2 linked regions of the Lonchura striata genome follow. The protein of the gene in region 2 purifies or fractionates together with the protein of the main gene of each other region. This does not show direct contact. Links are inferred from orthologs where the notes say so. Each region holds a gene or a part of one and is shown on either strand. Other genes may lie near its edges. The genes, in order: ubiquitin-conjugating enzyme E2 E2 and RNF25.

Evidence for each region.
Region 1: the proteins of RNF25 (region 2) and ubiquitin-conjugating enzyme E2 E2 purify together in Homo sapiens (affinity purification with mass spectrometry; 3 studies listed by BioGRID and IntAct, counting the BioPlex papers as one, with this or other methods). This does not show direct contact. The link is inferred for Lonchura striata from reciprocal best matches to the Homo sapiens genes RNF25 and UBE2E2.

The regions. Positions count from the first base shown.
Region 1 is NC_134603.1:119,106,664-119,118,162, forward strand, and holds the start of ubiquitin-conjugating enzyme E2 E2, read right to left. Parts: upstream 5,614-11,499; 5' UTR 5,325-5,613; intron 684-5,324; exon of another isoform or gene 679-683; 5' UTR 671-678; coding exon 495-670; intron 1-494.
Region 2 is NC_134610.1:15,673,385-15,685,076, forward strand, and holds the start of RNF25 (E3 ubiquitin-protein ligase RNF25), read right to left. Parts: upstream 4,821-11,692; 5' UTR 4,811-4,820; coding exon 4,773-4,810; intron 4,640-4,772; coding exon 4,565-4,639; intron 4,493-4,564; coding exon 4,390-4,492; intron 4,296-4,389; coding exon 4,228-4,295; intron 3,565-4,227; coding exon of another isoform or gene 3,543-3,564; coding exon 3,473-3,542; intron 3,349-3,472; coding exon 3,277-3,348; intron 2,565-3,276; coding exon 2,424-2,564; intron 1,674-2,423; coding exon 1,584-1,673; intron 1,084-1,583; coding exon 949-1,083; intron 834-948; coding exon 114-833; 3' UTR 1-113. Other genes in the region: STK36 (serine/threonine-protein kinase 36), read left to right, coding at 5,099-5,182, 6,029-6,169, 6,842-6,919, 7,345-7,475, 7,712-7,961, 8,377-8,470, 8,728-8,897, 9,114-9,518 and 4 more. UniProt on the Homo sapiens protein: E3 ubiquitin-protein ligase that plays a key role in the RNF14-RNF25 translation quality control pathway, a pathway that takes place when a ribosome has stalled during translation, and which promotes ubiquitination and degradation of translation factors on stalled ribosomes.

The sequences.
Region 1 (11,499 bases), on a different chromosome or scaffold from region 2:
CAGATCACAGTTTAAAGTAATGAAACCAACATACATTTGTTGTTCACTCAAGTATTTCTGACCTGCTCATCTGGGAAAAGAAAAGGCAGTACTTCATGGCAATAGGTATTACGGTAGTCCTAACATGCTGAGTTACAGAACTGTCTGAAATGTTTATGGCTAATTAACTGTAAGTTACACTGACAAGTTTCAACATCAGTCATACATACATATACAGAGATATATTTTATAAGGCTACAAAACTGTCTGAGTTTTATTAGCAATAAAAAAATGTCAGCTTTTATCATGCAAGCAACTATTAAAACCATGTGAAAGAGGCAAACGGACAAAGAAAGGGAAAAGTATACAGGTCTCATTATTGTGACCAGTCTCAAAAGGTTATTACACTGATACAGTAGTGTTATAATAAAACAATCAGAAAATTAATATACTGAGTCAATACATGGATCTGATGACCAGCTGAAAGAAAGAAACAGTCAGGAAGAACACCGTACCTTTTAGCGCTAGTTGACAATTTAGCAGCTGTTTTGCTTGATATTTTCCCCTCTTTTTTCTTTGGTTGAACTTGCTCCCTTTCTTGTTCCTGCTGAGCACCTTCACGCTGATCTCCATCAGAGCTACCTCCACTAGTGCTTGGGCTATCATCCACTCTCTGCCCCTCTGTAGACATGGCAGATGCTGCACTGAACAAAGACAAACAACTGAAGTTAGTTTTTTGAGGAGCAACTGCCTCATTGTATTTCTTACATGCTTAAGGAAAGAACACATGGGATATATGTCTCTGTCCTAACAAAATAATGTTTATATCACAGTAGTTCAATAATCCTCATACTGAAGAGTTTTTGCCACAAACATCTTAACAATAATTCAGGAACTGGCAATTTTAAACCCTATACCACTGCCACCCCCCCAAAAATCCCAACCAACCCACAAACAAATAATACAAACAAACACACAAACCAATCCCCCTGCCAAACTCTTCACAAACACATATATATATGTATGAAAACCAGAAGTTACTGAAGTTAAGTGGGAAACATAATCCTGAAAGTGTAAAACCATTCACTGTGAATTATGTTTTTCAACCACTCAGCAGTGGCATGAGTTAGCTGTCCCATCAACTATGCCACCAGTTCATATCTACCACAGCTAGCTAAAAACGGAGAGTTATTAGTATCTTAGGACTCTCTGTTATCCCATATGAAATAAATTTGTGGGCTCATTCCAAGTGTACAATGTGGGTTTCCACATTACAAAATCCACATCTTGGCATGCTTGATGGAAACACAGAACTAAAAAGCTTTAACACAGGACTGTTTGTATTTACTAAAATAGTGAGCACATTGGTAGAGGATATAACAAAGTTTTTCCTGACATTTCATTCAGGCAACATGAGGCAACAAACTTGTCAGAGAATATGAGCCGTAAGAAATCTCAGCATATTTCAGAAGTCAAGTTGATGCTTTATTTGCACACTTCTGATACTAGTTAGCTATTTTAATTTCTTCCTTCATTTTAAATAGTATAACAATACGCCAACAGATGAGGAATTACAAGCCCGCTGTTACAGCTGTCATGACATCTCAAACTCTCAAACTGTTCTAATGAAGGGCAGATGTCCATGAAAAACTCTTACTGAATTAGCATATCTGGTGGCACTAACTGATTAAAAAAAAAAAAACCAAAACAAACAAACAAACAAACAAAAAAAAAAAAAAAAAAAAAAAACAAAAAAAAAAACCCAAAAACCTAAACCAACAAAGCCAAAACCAAATTAAAACCAAAGTGAAACCCAGGTCTTTCCTTTAACACCAAATCTGTACCTTATACACCTGTGTTACATATCCTTCTCTAGAGATTTTTAATAAAAAGTAGACAGGCCCAAATGTTAACTTGCTTACACCCACACAATCCCTGTATATCTGGGTGGTTTTCTGATCAAATCTGTCTGAACTAAGAATTTGCTCTTTCATACACAAAGAGTTTCAAATTGCTGTGAACTTCGACTCGCTTTTCCTCTTACCTATGTACAGACATCATCACAATTAAGAACAAACCTATTCACCTTGACTATTATGTGTTTTAAGACTCGCTCAAGGGAGAATAATGAGATTTCAGGCTCAGATTCAACCATGCTTGTTCTATGTATTAAACAAAGTTCATCTCCCTGTACATATTTATGGAAAGAGACAGCAAAGGAAAAGTAAATTAATATCAATGCTAATAGGGTTATGTTGAAAAGGATGCTTTTTAAAAAGGCCTAAGTGTTCTTGTTACAAAATAGAAATAAATTTACTCCTATACTAAAAAACCTTGCCAAGATCTAATTCTATCAAATAATACACACTATGGAGCAGAAGAAATAATCTCTTCAGGCATTATTGACACATCCAACTAACTTCAGGAGGAATTAGGTCTTTTTCATCTATCTTGTGAAGCTATACTGAAAAAGAATTCTGGAAGTATGGCACCCCTTCAAAATGTTTATGCATTAAAAGAAACAGCAAGCAATACCAAGTGATGAATATGTGACTAAAGTTTCCCTTCATCGCTTAAGCTGCATTTTTGATTTTATAACAGAAAATAGTATTTTTGCATCTAAATATATATAAACACACAAGACCTAACCTGCTCATTAAAGTAACTGAAATAATCTAGAATTTCTGCCCTAAAATTAAAACATAAGAATTGTCCACTCCTAGAGAACAATTTCTCCTACAGTACAGCTGTAACAATACATTTAACATAGTCCATAAATTTACGCAGACTGATGTTCAGATATTTAAATCCTATTGTGTGATTTCAAGGTAAAGCAGCAGAATGCTTAGAGGTAATAAACAACAAAAGTGTCACATTCTGACAAGTCAAAATATGCAACTTTAATGCAATTTTGGTAGTAAGTACCCATTTTCCTGACTTCTACATAAACCTCATCTCTTTTTATAACACTTATGTTGGCCTTTATTTGCCCTAGATTTTACTTCTGACCTTGCTTAATACATCTAATTTTAAAGAGAAAATTTCTCTCTTCACAATGTACATAGGCTTCAACACTGCAGGCCAGAAAGTTAAAAGCATATTTAATAATACTTATATGCATAGGACATCTGCTATGAATAATCTTGGCTACAAATATTACTATTATCCAAAAAACAACTGTATTCACTTCCTAAGTTCAGGTTACTATCCAGCAGATAAATACTGTAACAGTAGCCCAGAGCATATAATTACTGTAACATGTAACACCAGCATTTACAAGAGGAAAATGTTTAAATCTGTCATTTGATGTCTGGCTAGTTTCTGGCAGGGGTGGGGGGGAGATTTGGGTTTTGGATGTTTTTTTCCCCCCTTTCTCCTTCTGTCTCTGTTCCCCCTTCTGACATCCAGGCAATTATTTCTATTCACTCTCCTCAAAATACCTGCAATTTTAGGGAGTTTTGCTCAAAGGATGCTCAAAATTGCATTAAAACCATGCTTTAAGGGGCCTGAAATTAAACATTTCTAATGGGGTCAAACTTAAAAGACACATAAACATATGACCAAGTAAGAGACTGGGGTAAAAAAAGTCAACTGAGAGGATGACACTGTGAAGAAAACATTTCACTGCCACCAACACAGACAGAAATACAAGATAATCCTTGAATCTGAAGAGCCATAAGTGTGTTTGCAACTGTCACACAGGGCAAGAGGAAAGACACACGATGTCCAGGTTCCTGGCTGCCAGGCTATTCTACATTCAGACAAGGGTTGCTAACCTCCCTGCTGTTGTGCAGAGAAAAATGAGCAGAGGGGACAGAGGAAGGAATGAAAGGGGACTTAAAAGTCTCTCCCTTAACGTGAGATGAATCAGCACCGAGACAGATTACAAGTGTAACTACAACTATCAATTCAAAGTGAAGGGCATCCAAAATATTTTGCTTTTGTCAAATATATCCACGGGCACCTTCCCTTTCCTCCTCAAACTAAAAAAAAAAAAAAAAAAAAAAACAACAATAAAAACAGACAAACCAACAACAATAACAAACCAACAATAAAAACAAACAAACCAAAAACAACAACAAAAAAGAAAAGACAAAAATACCCCAAACCACCAGTCATTATCAGATATCACACGCCAGGAAAAAAAAAAAAAAATCCACCAGTCGGGAACAGCAAGATCCTGGCAACGTGCAGATGGGTCCCAAGGGCGGCAGAGCTAGTGATGATGTCTTTCTAAAGCGCTCGTAATTTCCTATAAGCCAAGATAAATTGAGTATTTCTGCAGGGTCCACCACGAGCAGCAATGGCAGCAGCCGCCTTACTTCATCTTCATTAGAAACCATAAAGGGCAAGACCACAGCATCGCGGGACGGGAGGCAGAAAGAGCCCGGTGTGTTCGCCGCTGAGAAGGGCACCCGGAAGGATGGGATGGGACAGGACGGCAGCTCCGGGCTCCCACGGCCGCGCGTGGGCACGGGAGCGACTCTCCCGTCGGGAATCCCCCGCCGTAGGCAGCGGGTGGGGGCCGCGAGCATCCCCAGAACCACGCACCCCCCGCACTCCCACGGCCGCGCGGGCGGCGGCCGGGCTAGGGTGAGAAGTAGGAGACAACCGAGGAGAGGAGGAGGAGGAGACTGCGAGAGGAAGACGTCGGGGGCACATGCGAGAAGGGAGAGGGCTGGGCTGCGGGGCTCCTTGGGGCGCGGGGGTGGGGGGGGTAGTGCCCTTCCCGGGGGGCTCCAGCCCGGGGTGCCCACCGCTGCGGCGGGGGGCGTGGGGGTAGCGCATCCCAGGAGGCTCGATCGTGGTGGGGGGCAGGGGGTACCCCGGCCCCCCAGGGGCGCAGAGAGTGCCGCGGGGACCATGCGGAGCGGGGCCGGAGGGGTGGTGGGGAGCGGGGGTGGTCGCCGCTCCCGCCCGCAGCAGGGCGAGCAGGACAAATGGACACGGAAGAGTTGCTGAAAGGGTGTGGGGGTGCTGAGGAGCAATGGAGGCTGGATGGAGCCTGGGGGAGCGAGGAGCGCCTCCAGAGATGCCGAGGTGGCCGGGGGCGGCGGGGGGGGCGGCCGGGACGGTTGCTAGGAAAGGGCACAGCCGAGGATGACAAGGGGGGCAAGGGGGTACCAGGCAGCACCAGGGGGATGCGGAGAAGGGAGGGAAGATGAAGGATAAAGGTAGAGACCGAGGATCGCAGATAAATGCGGGGGAGAGGGTGCTGCCGTGGGGGAGGGATGGCGAGCGACATGGGGGTAGGAGCCCGGCGGGGGGAGGGGAGGAGGACGGGGAGCTCAGGCGGGGCAGAGGTAGGTGTACCCCGGCAGAGACGGGGGGGAAGCCGCTGCTACCTGCAGGCGAGCGCAGGTCTCTCTCTCGCTGGTGCCGGGCACAGGCTGCGGGACAATCCGTCGCGGGCGCCCCGACTCCGGCCGGGCGCGGGGCTGGAAAGGGGCTGCAGCCGCTCAGTGAGTCATGAGCCCGCTGCCCCGCGCTCCTCGCTCTCGGCTTCCTCTCCCCTTTGCCGTCTCTCCCGAGCAGCAGCGACGGCCGCGGCTGCTTCTCCCTCCGCCGCCGCTCCTGCCCCCGCTGCCCGGAGAGAAGTGAAGCCGCTGCCGCGCGCGCGCGCGCACCCCCGCCGCCGCCTCCGCGCGCGCGCGCGCCCCCACCCGTCCGCCCGGCGCCGCGCGCGCGCGCGCCCGCCAGCCAATTATTCCGGGCGCTCGCGGGCCGCCGAGGGAGGGGCGGGAGGGCGGGGGCGCGCGCGGCCTCGGCGGGGGAGCGGGGGGGGAAGTGACGGGATGGGCGCGCGGGCGGGCGCGCGTCCGCGGGGGCCGGCGGAGGCCGCGCGCCGCCGGGCAGGGGGGAGGGGCAAGAGGCGGCGGCGGGAGCGCGCGTTAAAGGGAAGCACCGGGGGCTGGGCGGGGTCAGCGGGGCAGAGGAAGAAGGAGGAGGAGGCGGCGGGAGGGGATGGGGTGAGCCGGGACCTTTGGCCAGGGATTCGGGGGGGATGGAGGTGAGGGTACCCGGCCTTTTTCCCTGCCGCCGCCGGGCTGCCGTGGGCCCCCACGCGAAAGTCCGGGAGGTGGAAGGGGCAGGCCGGGACAGGGCAGGGAGCGGCGGAGGCCGGCATCAACTTTCTCGGCTCTTCTCGTCTTTTTCGGCTCCTTTGTTCCCCTCGGCCCCCTCCGCCGCCCCCTCCCCGGTCCCGGCGGCCCGCAGCTCCCCAGCGCCTTTGTCTCGGCGGAGCCGGAGGGAGCCGCCGGCGGGACGCGGCGCTGCCCCGGGCGGGGAGCGGCGCGGTACCTGGGGAGGGGCGGTGCGGGGCACGCGGTGCCTCGGCCGGCCTGCGGGAGGGCCCGGGCCTCGGCACTTGGTGGCCACACTCTGTGTTACCGCGCTAGTTTTGTCCGCCGTGGCATCAGCACAGCCCGGGGCACAAACCGCCCCGGGCCGCCGGCGGCCCCGGTGACGTGCGGTATCCCGGCTGGAGATAGGCGCTGTCGCCCGATTGTGGCCAGGTAAATGAACCTCACCTCCCACGCAGGCGGGCATTGCCTCTGTGGAAAGCATCGCGGTCAGGAATGGGAGAGGCCAAGGCAGAGCCGCACTTAAATGTTAGTTGTTTAGTGCGAATATTAACCTGGAACAAAACAAACCTCCAGCAGAACTGATTGTCAGGTAACCCGGACTGCGCTGGGCGAGTGAGACACTTCTGTCCCTGTGCCGACCCTGCTGCTTTAATCTTTACATAATATGCTTAGGTATGTTATGTAAACTATCACCTCAAACCTTTCTTCCTTAAACAGGGAAATCTACCAGCCAAGGGTAAAGAGGTATTGCCAAGTCAAAATGTTTTCCCTTTTTTAATAACTGCTATAGATAAAAAATTAATCCAGCCGAATTAAAAATAAAAATTGATTTTATTTAGCAATTGAAATCTGTCTGAGCCAGCCACAAAGAAACGGACAGTGCCGAGCCCGGGATCGGCGCTGGGTCAGACAGCTGGGAAGTGGTGCTGACCGCTACAGCAGAGGATCCCCCTATGTTTCGCACCACCTGTTCTGTGCGAGCAACTTTTATATGGTTTATTTTGCTCGAGGCCAGGATTTCAGTGATCAGCCTTTTCTTTCCATTCAAAGTCCCACATATTCATAAAGTCTCTTTTCTCTATGCTGAGTTGAACAATTCGGTGTCCAGGAAGGGAACATGGTATTGAGATGTATCCTTTTGGGTGGTTCCAGTGATTGCAGTCTTGGGTTGTTGTTGGGACCATCATCACTCGGGATTTCCTGGATTACGTTGAGAAACAACCCATCTCCAGATGAACTACATGTATTAACTTGTAATGAGGTCTTATCAGAGACAGATTCAACATATGTGAGGCAAACCCCCTAGTACCGGCTGGTATGCTTTTTTAAATAATACAAAACATTACATCATTATCATTCTACAGGCACAAATTATCTATGTTACACATAACAACAACTAAAGGGGATTAAAAAAATAAAATGTGTTCTCACCATTCCACATGTAGGAGGAAAAGTTTTTCCCTGCTTGAACTGCGAAGCGTTGTATTTTTATTGACTTATGCTTGAGGTGTAGGTGGAGCCTGTGCCACCAAACATACAGAAGTTGAGAACTTGAAGCATTACTGAGATATATTAGGGTTAGAAACATCATTGATACCTGCTCTCGTATTATATCCAGATAACTGAAGTGATTTCTGCAGTTACCCTGAACATCAACAATTTTCTTTGTTGAGAAATTGTTTTTAAATTATTTGGTTTATTTCCTCTTCCTATTTCTTTGCTAAATAATCCCAGTGTTATTTTCACCTAAACCTAAAAATACCACAGTCAGCTAGTTCTTCCTATTCCGTGTGCATTTACAAGATATTTTCTTGCTTGTGATGGAGAAAAGCTCCTAATGTCATCTAGGTGGGTTTCTATCTGCTAAGCATACATTGACTTCTCGGAAGAATTAATAATTAAGTAATTAATAGAATATGAAGTGCAAAAGTCCTTCAAAAAATGCAAACCTCCAGCAAGTAATGTTACTCATTGTGCTGAAAGGTGCATTGTACACTTTTGACATCATGGTTCCCTTTTCTAAAATCACTTAAACCATGCTTTCTCCTTTCAGTCATTTGAAAACAGACCCCCTGAAAGCTATCCAGGAAGTGATAAAATTCAATTCTAAATGATTCTTCTAACCATACTTCCTTAATGTTGCTCTGATGGCTTAAGGGTGCCTTAAAAGGAGGCATACATTGATCTGTCTTAACTCCTCAGCCCATCTCAGGAGGTCTCTCTTTGGTGGCAGTTCATGGTGCTTCATTACAGATCTTTTCTGCTAGGATTTGCAGGAAGCACAGAGAGAAAAGCTGAGTGAATAGCCTAATTGAGACAGGGGCAGGATGGGGCCATACAGTGTCCCAGAATCTGGGTCATAATTTCCCAATGCCAAAATAATCAAGGGAGCGCTGGAGTGTTTGAGCACCGAGTGAGAGGTTTGAGTCATCACGAGTCAGGCCCTGATTTCTTCTTTTGGTGTTTGACCTCTGGCCCAGAGCCCTGAATGGTAGGGCTTAATTTAAGGACAACTAAACTAGGCAGGTTTGTACTGCCTTATGAATAGAAAATACACACTGAGGTGTGCCCTGTTTTAAAAGCAGAGGTTTTGAATGAGCCCTACCTATGTAGTGTAAAGAGAGTAGGGCAGGGTAGTCAGCTGCTCCCGCTTTTATCCTTTTGACCTTTCAAAATAACGTGTTTTGCCCTCAGATGTTAAAGGTGGCATAATATTGCTCAAAATCTTTTGAAGACTTTTCTAAATTTGGATTCTATAGGTTGAATTCTGGCCCTTTTGAAGTGAGTGGCAATACTTCAGTGTTAGATTTCACCCATGCTGGAGTGCTAAGGCACACAGTTACACTTTTTTTTTTTTTCCCTCCATGTTTGGCTTTGTCTGGTTTCTAAAAGCTGACACTATTTACACCACCAGACACATCTAAAGCAAGCAACATGAGTTCTTTACTCTCATAGAGACTGGGAGCTTCCTTGTGGAGACACGCCAGAGTTCATCTCACCTAGCACAGGCAGTCATGCTTTAAAACTATTATGGTTAAGGACACTTTTGTTAAGGGTTCTTGATTTGAGTGTCTGTTACAAGGGCAGATATGTCAGTCAAAATCTATGAAGTTGGAGAAACCTGAGCAAAGTTTCCATTTAGAAGTGTTTAATTTAAAGAAGTAATAGATCTATTTAAATTTTTCAGGTTTTTAAACTTTTTTTTGCTATACTGAGAGCTGTACTCAGTTACAGTGAGTCTTATCCATTTCTGTTTAGTTAAAAAAACAGGGAAATATCGTTCCATGTCAAGAAAAGAAATAGGAAAATGCAACTTTTGAGTTTTTTCTGCATTTCTATTTATGCATTACTGTTCATTCCCATTTAAAAGGACATGTTTTTATATCACTGTTAAAGTCATTGAATGAACGCTATTGTCAAGTAGTAACTAGAAAAAAGGGTTTGATTTTCTAAGGTAGAGAAAAGATGAGAAATCATCTCAGCTGTGGTATAGGTGAAGACATAACTATCTCTCTTGTGACAGCATATCTCTCTTTCAAAACTTTATTATTTTATATTAAAAAGTGAGATGATAATATTAACTTGTCCATGATGTGTCTGATTGTTACATCAATCTTTTTCAGCCAAGTCCTAATGAGCCAGTTTGTTTAATCCATCTGAACTATTATCAGCAGAAGTTTGGAGGAATGGGGACAAAGGTGCCTTTATTCATTTCTTACCTGATTCCAGCTCCAGCTGTTGAAGCCTGTGTTGTTCCCCCCATCCCTCCCCTGCTAGGAGTTGGGCCCTGTGGGGCTGTTTGGATAGTGGACAGCAGGCAGCTCTCAGCAGCAGGTCCTCTCTTTCCCAGTCTGGTTCTCCATCCTGAGCACAGAATGAGGAGTTTCTGCAGTAGCTTCATGCTGTTCCAGGATTCTTCTCCCATAGCTGGTTTTCCTTAAACTACTATGATGACATAAATCTGTGAGGACCATTCAGAGGATCTAGCCTGTTGTCTATTTTTCCCTCTTTGGTAATTCTCTTTCTCCTATTTGTAGATAGTTTATTCTCACACTATATCTATTTTTTTTTTTTTCTACAATTGTACTTTGCTTTTGTTGCTGCATGGATGAATCCTACTCTGTCTGTTGGCAAATGTAAACTGAAATTCACAGGTACCCTGATCTCTGAAGTGCCAGCTGTGTTTGAAAATGCAGTTTCTGAGTGATTCAGAGATAAGGATTCTTCTTTTTGTTTCTCTTCTATCAGCGTGTAGAATAAAGTGGCATAGCAAGGAAGATATCTGCAGCAGAAATTTACTTAAGAGTTTTCAGTTAATTGTGTATGTCCTCATCATATAAAAAATGGCATCCTATATCAAGGAAAACATTGATTGAATCCTGAAAACTAAGTAAGCCTATTGTTCAAACAATGCCTTGACAGAAGTCTGTTTAAATTATTTTCATGGCATTCTGAAGTAAAATGATTGTGTGAACACAGAGGCAAGTTACTGCTAGCCTGACTTCTTTATTTGCTCTACAATACTGCAAACCCCCAAATCATTAGCATTTATTCACTCTAATATTTCCAGGCCATTAAATACAAAAGGAGTTGTAAGTTGTGTGGCAAACAGCTTTTAAGGTCTCTTTCATTCCAGCCTAAAAAACGAAGAATTTGCAGCTCCTCCTCCCCTTTGCTCAGAAGCAGAACAGCTCCCACTATCATTCGGCTGGAACCAGAACAAACAACTGAGACAATAACCGTGTGGCATCAGAAATCCTGGTGGCTCTCAGCTGCTTTGCTATCCAGGATTGTAAAGAATAAAGATAAAACATATTAGGAGTGGGTAGGAGGGAGGTAATAACCTGCTTCCGTGTCCTTAATGAAAGCCTGTATTTTTGTTTAAGGTAGGGAGGGAATAAATTAACTGCATAATGTCCTGAACAGAGGTTCGTTTCTATGTGCTGGTTTAGAGCCTCAGTTAGAGCCTAAGTGCAAGTAATTGCATAGGATAATTCTGTGATAGTTTCTACACAGAAATTGTTGACAACTAAATCCTAGACATAGCCACTGCTTTAAAAATCTCATATTGCATGTACTGAAGGGAAAAATCTTTATTTCCAGAGCTATTGTAATGCACTGACCTGTAACTGGAAGAATTCCCTGCATTGCCTGTCTTAATTCATCACCATATGTGGGAGAGAATGTTGAAAAGTGAAGATAGGTTAGAAAAGAAAATTGGGGTGTTTTAGTTGTTACTTCCACACTCTCTTCAGCACCTCCGCGTTCCTATTATTTTCTGTTGGTTTCGTAATATCTTAATTCACAGAATCAGAGCTTGGTTTTCTGATTAAAGATGGGTAAAATTCTGAGGATCTCTTGTGGTTCTGTTGGGAAAGTTACATCTTTACACTGAAAAAGAAGCCGTGGGCACTCATGTTCCCTTTTAATAAAG
Region 2 (11,692 bases):
TCTGACTCCCCCCTTCCAGGGGTACAGTATCTGCTTGCTACTGCTTCATCAGATCCTTCATCCGTTCTCTCCAGAAATAGCCCTTTTATTCCCCCAGCCCCTCATCATTCCTGCTAGGAGCCGCTCTCCTTCTCAAGATGGGCTTCTTGATGTCCACTGGGCCTGAACGCCCCTCGCCCTCTTGGTGCTCTGGGGTAGGAACCATGCTCCTGAACTCTGGACCTCTCCCATCTTCCACAATCCCAGGGCCTATGGTGGCCCTGCCAGTTGGGGGCAGCTTTGTGGTCACTGCGGTTGAACATCAGGTTCTCCTTTTTCCTGCCCCGGGCCTCAGTCCCCTCCTCTGTGCTCCATTTTTCCATGTCATGGTGCTCCTCTTTCAAGTCCACAGTTTCTGCTGCTGGTGAGGGGTCTTCACGGCACAGCTCCCTTCTTTCAGCCAAGGGAGCAGCCCTGCTTCTACTGGGAGGCTTTGAAAACTGGCTGTGCCGTCCAGCAGGTCTATGCTCTGCTCTCTGGCTGAAGACCCTGGGCCCCCTGGAGCTGTGGAGTGGATGACAGGCTTCCTCTCCTGGTTCCTGCAAGCTACTGCACAGCTGCCTGCCCCGGCCTCTGGAGCCTGGCCTCTCCCCTCTGTGCCTCTCCCTCTTGCTCAGCTGCTCTCTGGGCACAGCACATCTCTCAGGCTGCCCGGGTTCCACCCTGGCCTCTGACGCCCCTGCTGGCTCGGGAGCCGAGGCTTGGCTGGACGGCTGGGGCACGTCCGCAGCACGGGCACTCACCGACAGCTCAGAGGCAGTGGCTGCTTGGCCTGTATCCACAGCAGCTGGAGGCTGAAAGAAAAAAGCTACTGGTTAAGAAAAGGAGAGGGGTGTCCCACAGCAGATGACAGTGCTTGGTCCTGTAGCCCAGAGCCCCCTCAGAAGCTCTCTGCCCCCAGTGCCGTACCGCCTGGAGGCTGATGAAATATCGGTTCCTCTCTGCCTCAGGGTCGATGATTCCCCCTTTCTCTTGCTGTCTCTTGAAAATCAGGCGCAGTTCTTCCTGGTGCTGCAGCACCTTGGCATCTGGCCTGTATGGCTCCTGAGCAGAAGAAAGCAAGGCAAGGTAAGGGCTCTCTCAAAACCTAGCATGGATAGGCAGTGGCAGGGCTGGGAGCTACTCCCCAAACCCTTCTTTGCACAGTGCCAGGCAGCCTGCTTCTTTCTGCCACACTGACCAGGTCTGCAGATGAATGGGAAATCCCTGAACAGAAGCCAAGCATCCCAGTGCAGACCCACTGTTTCTGCAGTGACTGCCTTGGGCCATCCTGCTGTGGGGCAGGATGCAAAGCAGCTGCTATCAGGTCACTCTCCTGACCTGATTGTTTCCCAGTGAGTGCAGGGATGTTCCCCATGGCAGAACCACCTCTCCCTCAGCACATCTGCTCAACTCAGGGCTATCAAACTGAACCTGCTCTGTGAGCTGCCCTTTGAATAGGCAATCTAGGAGGACTTGATAGAGAGTGTGCATGCATTACAATGTCCCAGTTGAAGCTACCCAGTGAGGGGGCACAGCTGGGCAGGTGAGCCCCCATCTCTTACCAGAGGGTGCTGCGGGGGCGGTGCTGCCTTCAGAGCACAGAGATCGTAAACCAGGGTCTCCCGGCAGACAGGGCACTGCACACCAACTTCCTGTGGAGAGGCAAAAGATGATAGCAAACCCTGTCTGTGATCCAGCTCATGCACTGCCCCATAACCCCACCCTGGAAGTGAAACAGGGTTGTCTTCTTCACTCTTCTGCCAAGGTAAGGAAGCCCAGAGGGGTTCCAGCAGCATGAAAGCAGCCTGGTGTCTCAACAACTGCTATGGAAGGTGTCTCCATATAAGACATGCTGGGATTTGTACTCCAGCAGCTGACTGCTTTACAAAGCACCCCTGTCAACACATATGGCTTCAGCCCGCAGCCTAGGATGTATTTTTTTGTGCTCCAAAGCGTAGTGTGTCATCAAGGCAGCACCTCCTTGGAAGGGTTTGTGGGAAGGAGTCTTTGATTGTTCCATACTCAGCTGTGCTGTTTGCTCTGCAGCTGACAACTGTTCCAACCCATGCTAGGCAGGTATTATCACCCCAAAACACAGGTGATTTGTGTTTACTCTGCTGCAACCCCCCACAGTTCAAGGACAAGGATTAGGACTAGGGAAGGAGCGAGCCCTTTTTTCTAACTTCTGTGGTTGCAGAAGTCTAAAAATGCAACTGCCTTACCCCCTCACACAGCAGGCACTGTCCCAGAGATTCAATAAACCAACTTGTTTGGTCAGAAAGGGCCCTTGGAGATAACTTAGTCTAATCCCTGTGATTCTCAGCACAGGCTCCATGTGCCAAAGAGGGTGATACAGATGTTAAAAGGGTCTGTGCAGGGGGCCAAGGAAGGAGGCCCAGTACCTGTTTAGGGGATGGTGCAAGGTGCTGCCCTCTCTCCTCCTGCTGCATGAGGATCTCCTCCTCCATGTGCTGGGCGTAGCGGGCCAGACAGTGGGAGTGGAAGTAGTGGTAGCACTGGGTCTTTGTGAAGGCTTCTTTCTCCTGTCAAGAGAAAAGGGCATCTTTGAAGGATTTCTATGCAAAGAGTTGTGCAACCACACAGTTGAGCTGGGTTTTCACTTTCATGTCAGTGGTATCCATGGGGAATTAGTGCTAGCAGAGCCGCCCAGCATCATCTGTTGGGCTGCACCTCCACTCCTTCAGCAATTACTGGGATGCTGCTTCTTGTTTCAAATGTTAGAAACACTCCTAATGTCAATATGCAAAGATTTTATGACTGATTTTTCTGTATGTGTTCCTGTGTAACCAGCAATCTTCCCACTTGATGTGTTCTCCTTCCTAGGCAGGTGTTGACTTCCCTTGCAATCTGGTAAGGCCTGCTCCCCTATCCCCACAGACCTTAGCACCTGGATAGATATGTTCTAGTCCCTCCTGACCACCTGTGTGCTGAACTCATGGTGAGGTGTAGCCAACACAGGGAAGCTGAAATGCATCACCAACTAGCCCCAGAGCCTACACTTCCTTGGAGATGCTCCAGCATCTCTTGCTGCCCTACGTCCATTTTCTGTAGAAGATTATCTAGAAATTTATGGGAAGAGCAGCATGTATTGCACTAGGAAGGGCCCTGTGCAGAATGGGAGGCAGTGGGCTGCTGGTGTACATCTTGGTCCCAGGCTGATATCCCAGTGTCAGACTTCCTGTTCTCTTGCCTCACTTCCCAGTCAGTTTGTGGGGTCAGGAGACACATGCCTACCTGGAATCCATAGAGGCAGATTACACACTGTCCTTGAGGAATATTGTTGTCAGTGAGGATCTCCTTTCCCTTCTGTGAAAACATTAAAGCAAACATTTTACTCACTGGCCTGTCCATGGGCTCAGGGATGTCCCACCCCTTGGGAAGTCAGGGATCAGTGTCTGTGGCTGGTCACACCCAATCTCCTCACTCTCACCTCAATCAGTTCATAGAGCACCTCTGTCCCCAGCCTGGCTTCAGCAACACTTCTGAGGGTCTGGGAAATCCTACAGCAAAGCAGCAGAAATCCTTAACACAAATTTAGCCACACTTTTCACTGTCCCACGTACTTGCCATGATGACGGGAGGAAAATAGGGAGCACGGTCTTCAGGCTTTGCATGGAGTACAGGATGAGCACACATGTATTCATGTGTGTTCCTGGCTCACCACAAGCCAGTGCACAGGAAGCCTATGTTATTACAGAACTTGCAGGAGCAGGTTTGCTGATAGCCTCAGCTTGAGCTCAACCAGCAACCTTTGGTTTTGGTGAATCCCAGGTTTTGTTTATCTGACAGCAGCCCCTGAGGAGGTCTGTTGGGAGCCATGTCCTCTCGTACTGCCGGCAGGCACCAAGGTCTCTGCACACATTCCATTGTGCCAAGGGCCAAAGCACAAATACAACAACGGGCTGCCCAAGGACTCGGATCAATCCCACATCTGTCAGGGCAGGACCAGCAACTTTCAAGGCCCCAGGGATTCCAATAAGATTTGAGGGGAACCACAGGGTAATAACCACAAGGTGGACCCCTCTGTGTCAAATTCGGCACCAGTGGCTCCTGAAAGATTTAGGACAAAGTGATTTAGGGACCTGTATCCATATGTTAACCAGACACAGGAAGTCATGTGAATTAGAGAAGGCTTGTCCATCAGTTCTGCCTCCTGAATCTCGGGAGGAAAGAATTGCCACTCACTTTTGAATTTGCTCATCTGACAGCCCCCGCGGATTCCTGATGGAGATCTCCGGAGCTTTATCAGGATACTAGGATAAAAGAGAAACAGCCAAAGCACAACAAGGAAGGTGGAGAGGCCCGAGGCTCGGAGGTGCGGGGGCCCGGGGGGCGCGGGCAGCCTACCTGCGGGGGCACGGAGAGCACCAGGGTGAAGCGCACGTACTGCGAGTCCTGGTCCTGGGCCGTGGCAGGGTACAGGGTGATGCTGATCTCCCAAGGCTCCCACCTGCAGAACGGGCAGATCGGGGTGAGGAGGGCGGCGCGGGGCCGGGCCGCGGATGGGGAGCGCGGGACGTACCTGCCCAGGCCCCGCGCCACCTGCAGCTCCTCCAGGTAGATGGACTCCAGCACCTCCACCTCCGGCGGCAGCGCCCTGCGGGAACCGAGCAGGCGGGGGTCAGACGGCTCCGGCGGGCTGGGGGTGCGGGACAGCGGGGGTGCGGGGGCCGGGAAGGTGCGGGCACGTGGGAGGGCGCAGAGACCGGGGAAGGTTCGGGGGCTGTTACCAGTCCGTCGCCTCCGCCTCCCCAGCGGCCGCCGCCATCTCGCCGCCCGCCCGGAAGCGGAAGCGGCGAGCCGGTTGCCAGGAGACGCCGCGGCGGCGGGCCCGGGCCGGCGGCGGAGCGGGGCGAGGCTCGTCCCGCGGCGGGGTCGCTGCCGCTGCTGCTCGGGGCTCGTCCTGCCTTGGCGCCGGTGGGTAGGAGCAAAGCCTGGGGCGCGGGGGGACGACACTCGCCCGGGGGAACGGGCGCGGGGTGCAGCCCCGCGGGAGGGGACGCGCTGCCCCGCACTGGCCTCTTTGCCTCGCAGCTCAGCGGCCCCGTCCCGAGCGATGGAGAACTACCACATCCTGGAGATGATCGGCGAAGGGTCCTTCGGGCGCGTGTACAAGGGGCGCCGGAAGCACAGCGCCCAGGTGAGGGGACAGGGCTGGGGCTCTGCTGTGTGTGGCCGGGGCTGATTTCTGGTGCCTCTCGGCTTCTAAGGCTCTGCCAGGATTTTGGGACTCGGCATTCCTTCGGCTTTCTGCTGACGTTCCTGACCAGCTCCAGCTGGCACTAAGTCATCCGGATTCAAGGGACTCAGGAGCGACTTCAAGACCTCAAAGCAGAGCCAGCACTAAATTTAGATCCTCTGAAACCCCCAAGACAAACACCCCATAGCTGATGCCTGACTATTTCTAGGATGATTCTGCTACCAAATTGAACCTCCCTCCGTTTCAATTTGTAATTCCCATGTCGTCCTCCCAAATGCTTCAGTCCCCTCACCATCATGGGCCTCTCTGCTATACCCATTCCCTCCTATTGATGTTCTGGGCCAAAAACCTGGCCACAATATTCCCAACATGGTGCACAAGATTAGAAATAAAGGTCAGTAATCACTTTGCTGCGGTTCCTGCCTGTTGATACAGCCCAGGGTGCTGCTACTGTTCCTCATTTCCAGGGCACACTGCTGGCTCATGTTAGGCCTGCTGTTCACCAGCATCTTGAGGTCCTGTCCCATGTTTCTGAAGTTTATCTGTGTTCACTGGTTACATTTCTTTGCTTGAAATGCCAGTGTGAAAAGAGGTGTGAGCATCAGTGAGCCTAAGTGAGCATAAGTGAGCCTAGGGAGACCCCTAGGTCCAAAGGCCCAGTGAACAAATGTCTCATTGTTCTGTTGTCTGTGTTCAGCTGGAACCCTGTTTGGGTTAAAAGCAGCCTTTGCCAGTGTGGGTCTGACCAGGAGTCTGGTCTGATCCCAGCTTTTCCTGCTTTGAAAGGTGGTGGCCTTGAAGTTCATCCCCAAGGTGGGGCGGTCCGAGAAGGAGCTGAAGAACCTGCAGCGGGAAATTGAGATTGTGAGAGACCTCCATCACCCTAACATCATCCAGATGCTTGACAGCTTTGAGACTGCTAAGGAGGTGAAGGGGATTACTCCAGGCAAAGACTTTTGCTTGACTGGGGCAGGTGAACAAGTACTGTTCCCTGCTGTTGTAGGGACATCTTTCTCAAGAGATGCTGGTGACTTCATACCAGGCTCTGGTTAGTGTTTTTCAGAGCCCTTTAGTATGTGCCATGTGGGGAGCCAACACCTGTATGGGCTGCACTAGGTCATATGCAGAGGTGAAGGAGCTGACCAGGTGCTGTGTGGTGCAGGAGGAGTGGTTTGAGATCACAGGATGAGGGTCACTCTTCACTCATCACTCTCTTCAGAGACTGGCTTTTCACTGATTTAAACTCACATGGATATAATATGATAAGAGAGGATTGAAGACTGTCCTATAGCACATGGGAACGTGAAATAAAGTAATTGGACAGCAGATTCAAAACAAGCTCAAGGAGTGATTCTACCCACTGGGCTTGGCAGTGCCATTCTGGGCTTGTCTTGTCCTTCCCTCTTCCCTTGTTTTTGCTGGCTGAGATATGGACAGCTACAAGATCTCTGCCAGCTATGGGAGCTCTCTTCCATTCCAAGTCCCAGCCCAAGCTGATGGAATTTGCATGATGGCACCCCAACACCTTCCCGCAAATGTGTTACCCTGCTTTGTTCTGGTCCCCAGGGCCTGATCTCACCATGTTGTTCTTCTCTCCAGGTGGTGGTAGTGACTGACTATGCAGAGGGAGAGCTTTTCCAGATCCTGGAGGATGATGGGAGTTTGCCTGAGAGCCAGGTGTCTATCACTGCAGTGGCCATGCAGTGTTTGCTGCAGGCTAGAGAAAACAGGACTTGTGTGCCTGCAGGAAGAGGGTCTCTGCTGTGAGCCAGGAGTGTCAGGAGGGTGAGGGTGCCTCTGGGACTTTACCTGGCAGATCTTCTGAAAAGCATCGAGAAGGGGCCAGGTTGGCATTGTGGGACAGTGGGGTCCTGCAGAGACCTCAGTTTCTCTGTTCCCTTTACAAGGGCCACAGCACTAGACTGCCATGGCTATTGACCCACTCCAAGAAACTACTGGCCCACAGCTGGGGATGATCCCTGCCCCAAACAGGACAAAAGTAGAAGTAGTGTGGGAGCCAGGCTGTAAGGGACCTAGCCCCTGTGGTTGTGCCAGCGGGTGGCACCATGGGACACAGGGTGAGGCTTCTGTGTCTCTGGCAGGTCCAGACCATAGCTGCCCAGCTCATCTCTGCTCTCTATTACCTGCACTCCCACCGCATCCTGCACCGGGATATGAAACCCCAGAACATCCTGCTGGGAAAAGATAGTGTTGTCAAGCTCTGTGACTTTGGGTGAGTGCTGGAGGCCAGCTTGAGGGGAATGCTGGTGCTTGGAGCAGCCAAGGGGTTTCCTGAGTGCTGCAGAGGAGGAGTGAAGGAGTGCGGAAGAGGGCCTGGGTTCTGTGCATATTTAGAAATTAGGCAGAGAGGGGAGATTTTGTCCTCCAGAGGAGGATAAACTCATAGGGAGCTCCCTAAGATCTGCAACTGATGTTTCAGCCTGAACTTTAGATCTGTACTTTGAGCAGGTTTGCCCGTGCCATGAGCATCCACACCATGGTGCTGACATCCATCAAGGGCACCCCGCTGTACATGTCCCCTGAGCTGGTGGAAGAACGGCCGTATGACCACACCGCAGACCTGTGGTCAGTGGGCTGCATCTTGTATGAGCTGTTTGTGGGCACTCCTCCCTTCTACACCAACAGCATCTTCCAGCTTGTCAGCCTCATCATCAAGGACCCTGTCAAATGGCCTGTGGACATGAGCCCAGTGTTCAAGGTAAGGGCCGAGGCCCTGTCTGCAGGGTGAGATCTGTTAATGCAGTTTTGGCCTCACCTGCTTCCCTGGTGGGTCACTCTTAGGTTTTATGTCCCCTAACAGTGACTTCAGAACACAGAAAAGCTGTGTGAATGAGAGCTGGATCTCCTGGAATGGGAATCCTTATCACTGTTATCAAATGTCTGCTGTCTATGAGCTGGGAAACTGGGTCCAACAGCAGAGGAGTGATTTAGTGGGTTACGAAGGGAAATGTCTTGCCATCTGCCCTAAGCACTAGAGCTACTCCTTTCCCAGAGCTAGGCAGGAAAGGCAGGCCTCCTGGGTGCCCTCAGTGAGGGAGACTGATTGGGTACACTATGCTCACTGGTGGGTGCTGAACATGTGTCAGTGATCCTGCTGCTCCGCTGCTCTGCAGAGCTTCCTTCAGGGACTACTAATGAAGAACCCCCATGAGCGTCTGTCATGGCCAGAGCTACTTTCTCACCCCTTCATTGCTGGATGGGTTACTGGTAAGTACTTAGTCCTTTTCCAAAACTGTCCAGGTCTGTTTCCTTCTACTACTGTCTGGAGACTGGGAGGACCTCCCTGCCCTGCCATTTCTCACTATCCTGGTCTATGCCTCTCTCCTCTCAGCTTTTTCCAAGCACTGACTCCTAGCTCCTGCTCTTGGTCTTGCTCTGGGTTCCTTAGGATTCCCCTGGGATCTCAAGAAAGATCACGCTCTCAAGAGAGAGCTGCTGCTGAAGTTCTCCTCTTGCCTCCCCAGTGACTGATGACACAGAAAAGCATGGGATTTCAAACCCCTTTACCGTCAAGCTATCTCCAGAGCTGCAGGCCCTGAAGGAGCAGCAAGTACATTCCATGGCCCCCAGGAGCAGCCAGTCCAGGATCTTGAGAAAGGCCCAGAAGAAGATGGTTGAAGAGACACAGAAAAAGGTGGAGTAAAGTGTGAGGTTCCTCATGCTATGTCTCACAGTCAGAGCAAAGGAAGGACACTGAAGTGGGCCCTGGGGGAAAACACATGAGTACATGGGTCAGGCTGGGGTGTCAGCAACACACAAGGCAGGATGTGGAGTGCTTATGGTAGTGGAATCTAGAGGACTCATCTGACTGAGTAACCCTGCCCTGACCAAACTTCTCTGCCATCACCAGGGGCAACTGAAGGCAGGTGATGCATCTATGAAGGTTTCTGCCAATGGACATCCCACACATAGTCCCAGAGCAGCATCACGGAAAGCAGTCCCTGAGGAGAGGGAGCCATTGGCTGTCTCCAATGAGAAGAACCCATGTCTCCTGCAAGGAAAGAACAGCAGAGCAGAGTGGGAGTCTGAGGAGTCTCCTCCTATCCCAGGGAGAGAGAGGCACAGGCTGGGAGAGAAGGAAGAGGGGAAGGAAAGGTCTTTCACTGACTGTACTGTTTCCTTGGCCAGGCAGCACAACCTCTCTCAAGACTGTGAGTGGGAGTTTCTTGGAGCAGGTTCCCCTTCACAGCCTGGTGCTGGCAGGGCAGAGCCCTGCAGCAGGCACAGCACTGAGGCTGTGGACCTGGAGAGTGAGGTAAGATGGTGTCTTGAGTGAGGACAGCAGGGCCCAGTTTCCAGGGGCTGGTACAGAGACCCTGGGACTGGCAGGGTTTGTGGCACCAGTCCTCTCTCTTCTGTGGCTAGGAGTTGGAGAGTGATGAGGAGTGGCAGCACCTGATTGAGGACACTGAGCCCTCAGCCATGCAGCTGAGTGTGCCTCTGAGCCTCCTGAGGGACTCGGCTTTCCAGCACCGTGTCCAGGACCACCTGGCAGCCTCTGCTCAGCAGGTAAATGATTGCTGGCCCAGGCAACTAAGACTGGAGACTTGGATGCTGCCTTGTTTATCAAGATTAGGTTGGAAACATATGGAGAATCTTCAGCCCAGCCAGCAAAAAGATCCTCTGCTTCTCCGGGAGTTGGAGCTGTCTTGTGCACTTGGCTTGCCATCTGCTCCTCTGCTGTCCCCTGCCTGAGTGGGTTGAAGGGCTGCTTCATGGCTGGTGGAGACACCAAAATTGCTGCTCATTATAAGCTCTTCTGGCTTCTCTGTGTCCAGGTGCTGGAAGGGATGCTGGAGGGAGCCTCCCATCTTCGTTCTGTGCTTCGTGTTATTGGCAACCTCCTGTCTACCCGGTGTGATGCTGAGCTGCTGGACCACTTCTGCCAAGAGCTAAATGTGCCTCTGTCCCTGCTGTGTCTAGCCAAGCAGATCCTGGAAAGTGGTGTAACCAAGCAGGTGAGTGTAGAACCCCAGGGAAATGTGGGCGCCTGCAGAGTGCTGGTGCTGAGGAGGCCCTGGTGTCCTGCTGGACCTGGTTCCTCTTCCAGGCATCCTTGAGAAGGGGGAGGTTCTGGTAGGGAAGGATCCTGTCATAGAGTTGTGGGGATGGCCAGCAGACAATCCCCATTTATGGTTTCTTTCTGGATTCTGCAGCAGCCCTGGTGTATCGCTGTGCTGACAGACCTCCTCGTGGTGACCAAAGTTTGTTTCAGTAGCCTAGAGGAGAGTGGGCAAAAATACAGGTAGGGAAAACCTCCTGTTCCCTGAGGTCTTGTGTGGTCACTTTGGGGACCTGGCAGTAGGTGGAAGGGTGGTGTTCATACTCTGCAGCTGGAGTTGTCTCTGTGGGGAAGCATTATGGTCTAAGCACTTCATGCTGTATTGCTGTGCTCACAGAGGAGCACTTTCCTTGAATGGGATTAATTCAAGGAAAGGCACAGTTGACAAGTCCAGTTGTGCTGCCTGCTGGCAGCAGCTCACAGTGTGTGTGCTGCCTGCTCCATTAGCCAGGGCCATGTGGGCCTTCCCTCAAAGCAAGGGGCCATGTTTCTCTGCACTCATCTGCCCTTGCTGCCCCCCACAGACTGCAGACCATCCAGGAGAGTGCTGACTGCTTCCTGGCCCTGCTGCCGGAGCTGCTAGCTGTGCCAGCTGACAGTGAGATGAGACTCTGCCAGCAAAGCCTCCTGGTAAGAGTGCCCCCATCTCCCTCCTCCACACCCTCTGCCCTCAGGGACAGAAGTTATGGGGTTGTCAGTGTATGTTGGGGGAATACAGCCTGAGCACCCTGCTCCTAACTATGGGGTCTGATGCGTTCTTGTCAGGGCAAGCTGTCTCACCCACTGGGGTTTTAGCAGGGAATTGCATACAAAAATAAGGTCTCTGAGGGAGCACCTTTGCTGGCCTTAACATTCTAGTGTGGCTTTACTGGCTGAGCTGATGGCAGATGCAGCCCCTTGTACACACTCTGGCACAAAAAGTGTCATTTCACCAGACATATCCCTGGCTCTGCTGCCAAGAGTTCTGCTGCTGGGATTGTGCTGGGTGGGCACAGCGGGGTCTCAGCACTGGAGTATGATTCACATGTGGCTTGGTCAGGAGATGCATACAGGCATTTGATATCTTCTAGCCTTTGTTTTCAAGCTGCATGTTTTAGTGCCAGAGTCAGTAAGAGCAAAAATAGCTGTTGGGCATGCTCTGCCAGGCTGTGATAGAGATGAGGAGGGACATGTGCCTCCATGTGTACCCCTCACTTCATGCAGCCAGATGTCGATCCCATACAGAAACCTGTCTGGAGTGGACAGAGTTCCCTGAAGTTCCAGCATGAATTCTTCTCCCATCTCTGCTGTCTTCCCACAGCTTCCTCCTGTGCTGTCCTTTTCTTTCCTCTCAAACTCAGTCTGCAGTGATGGCAATCCCTGTGTCT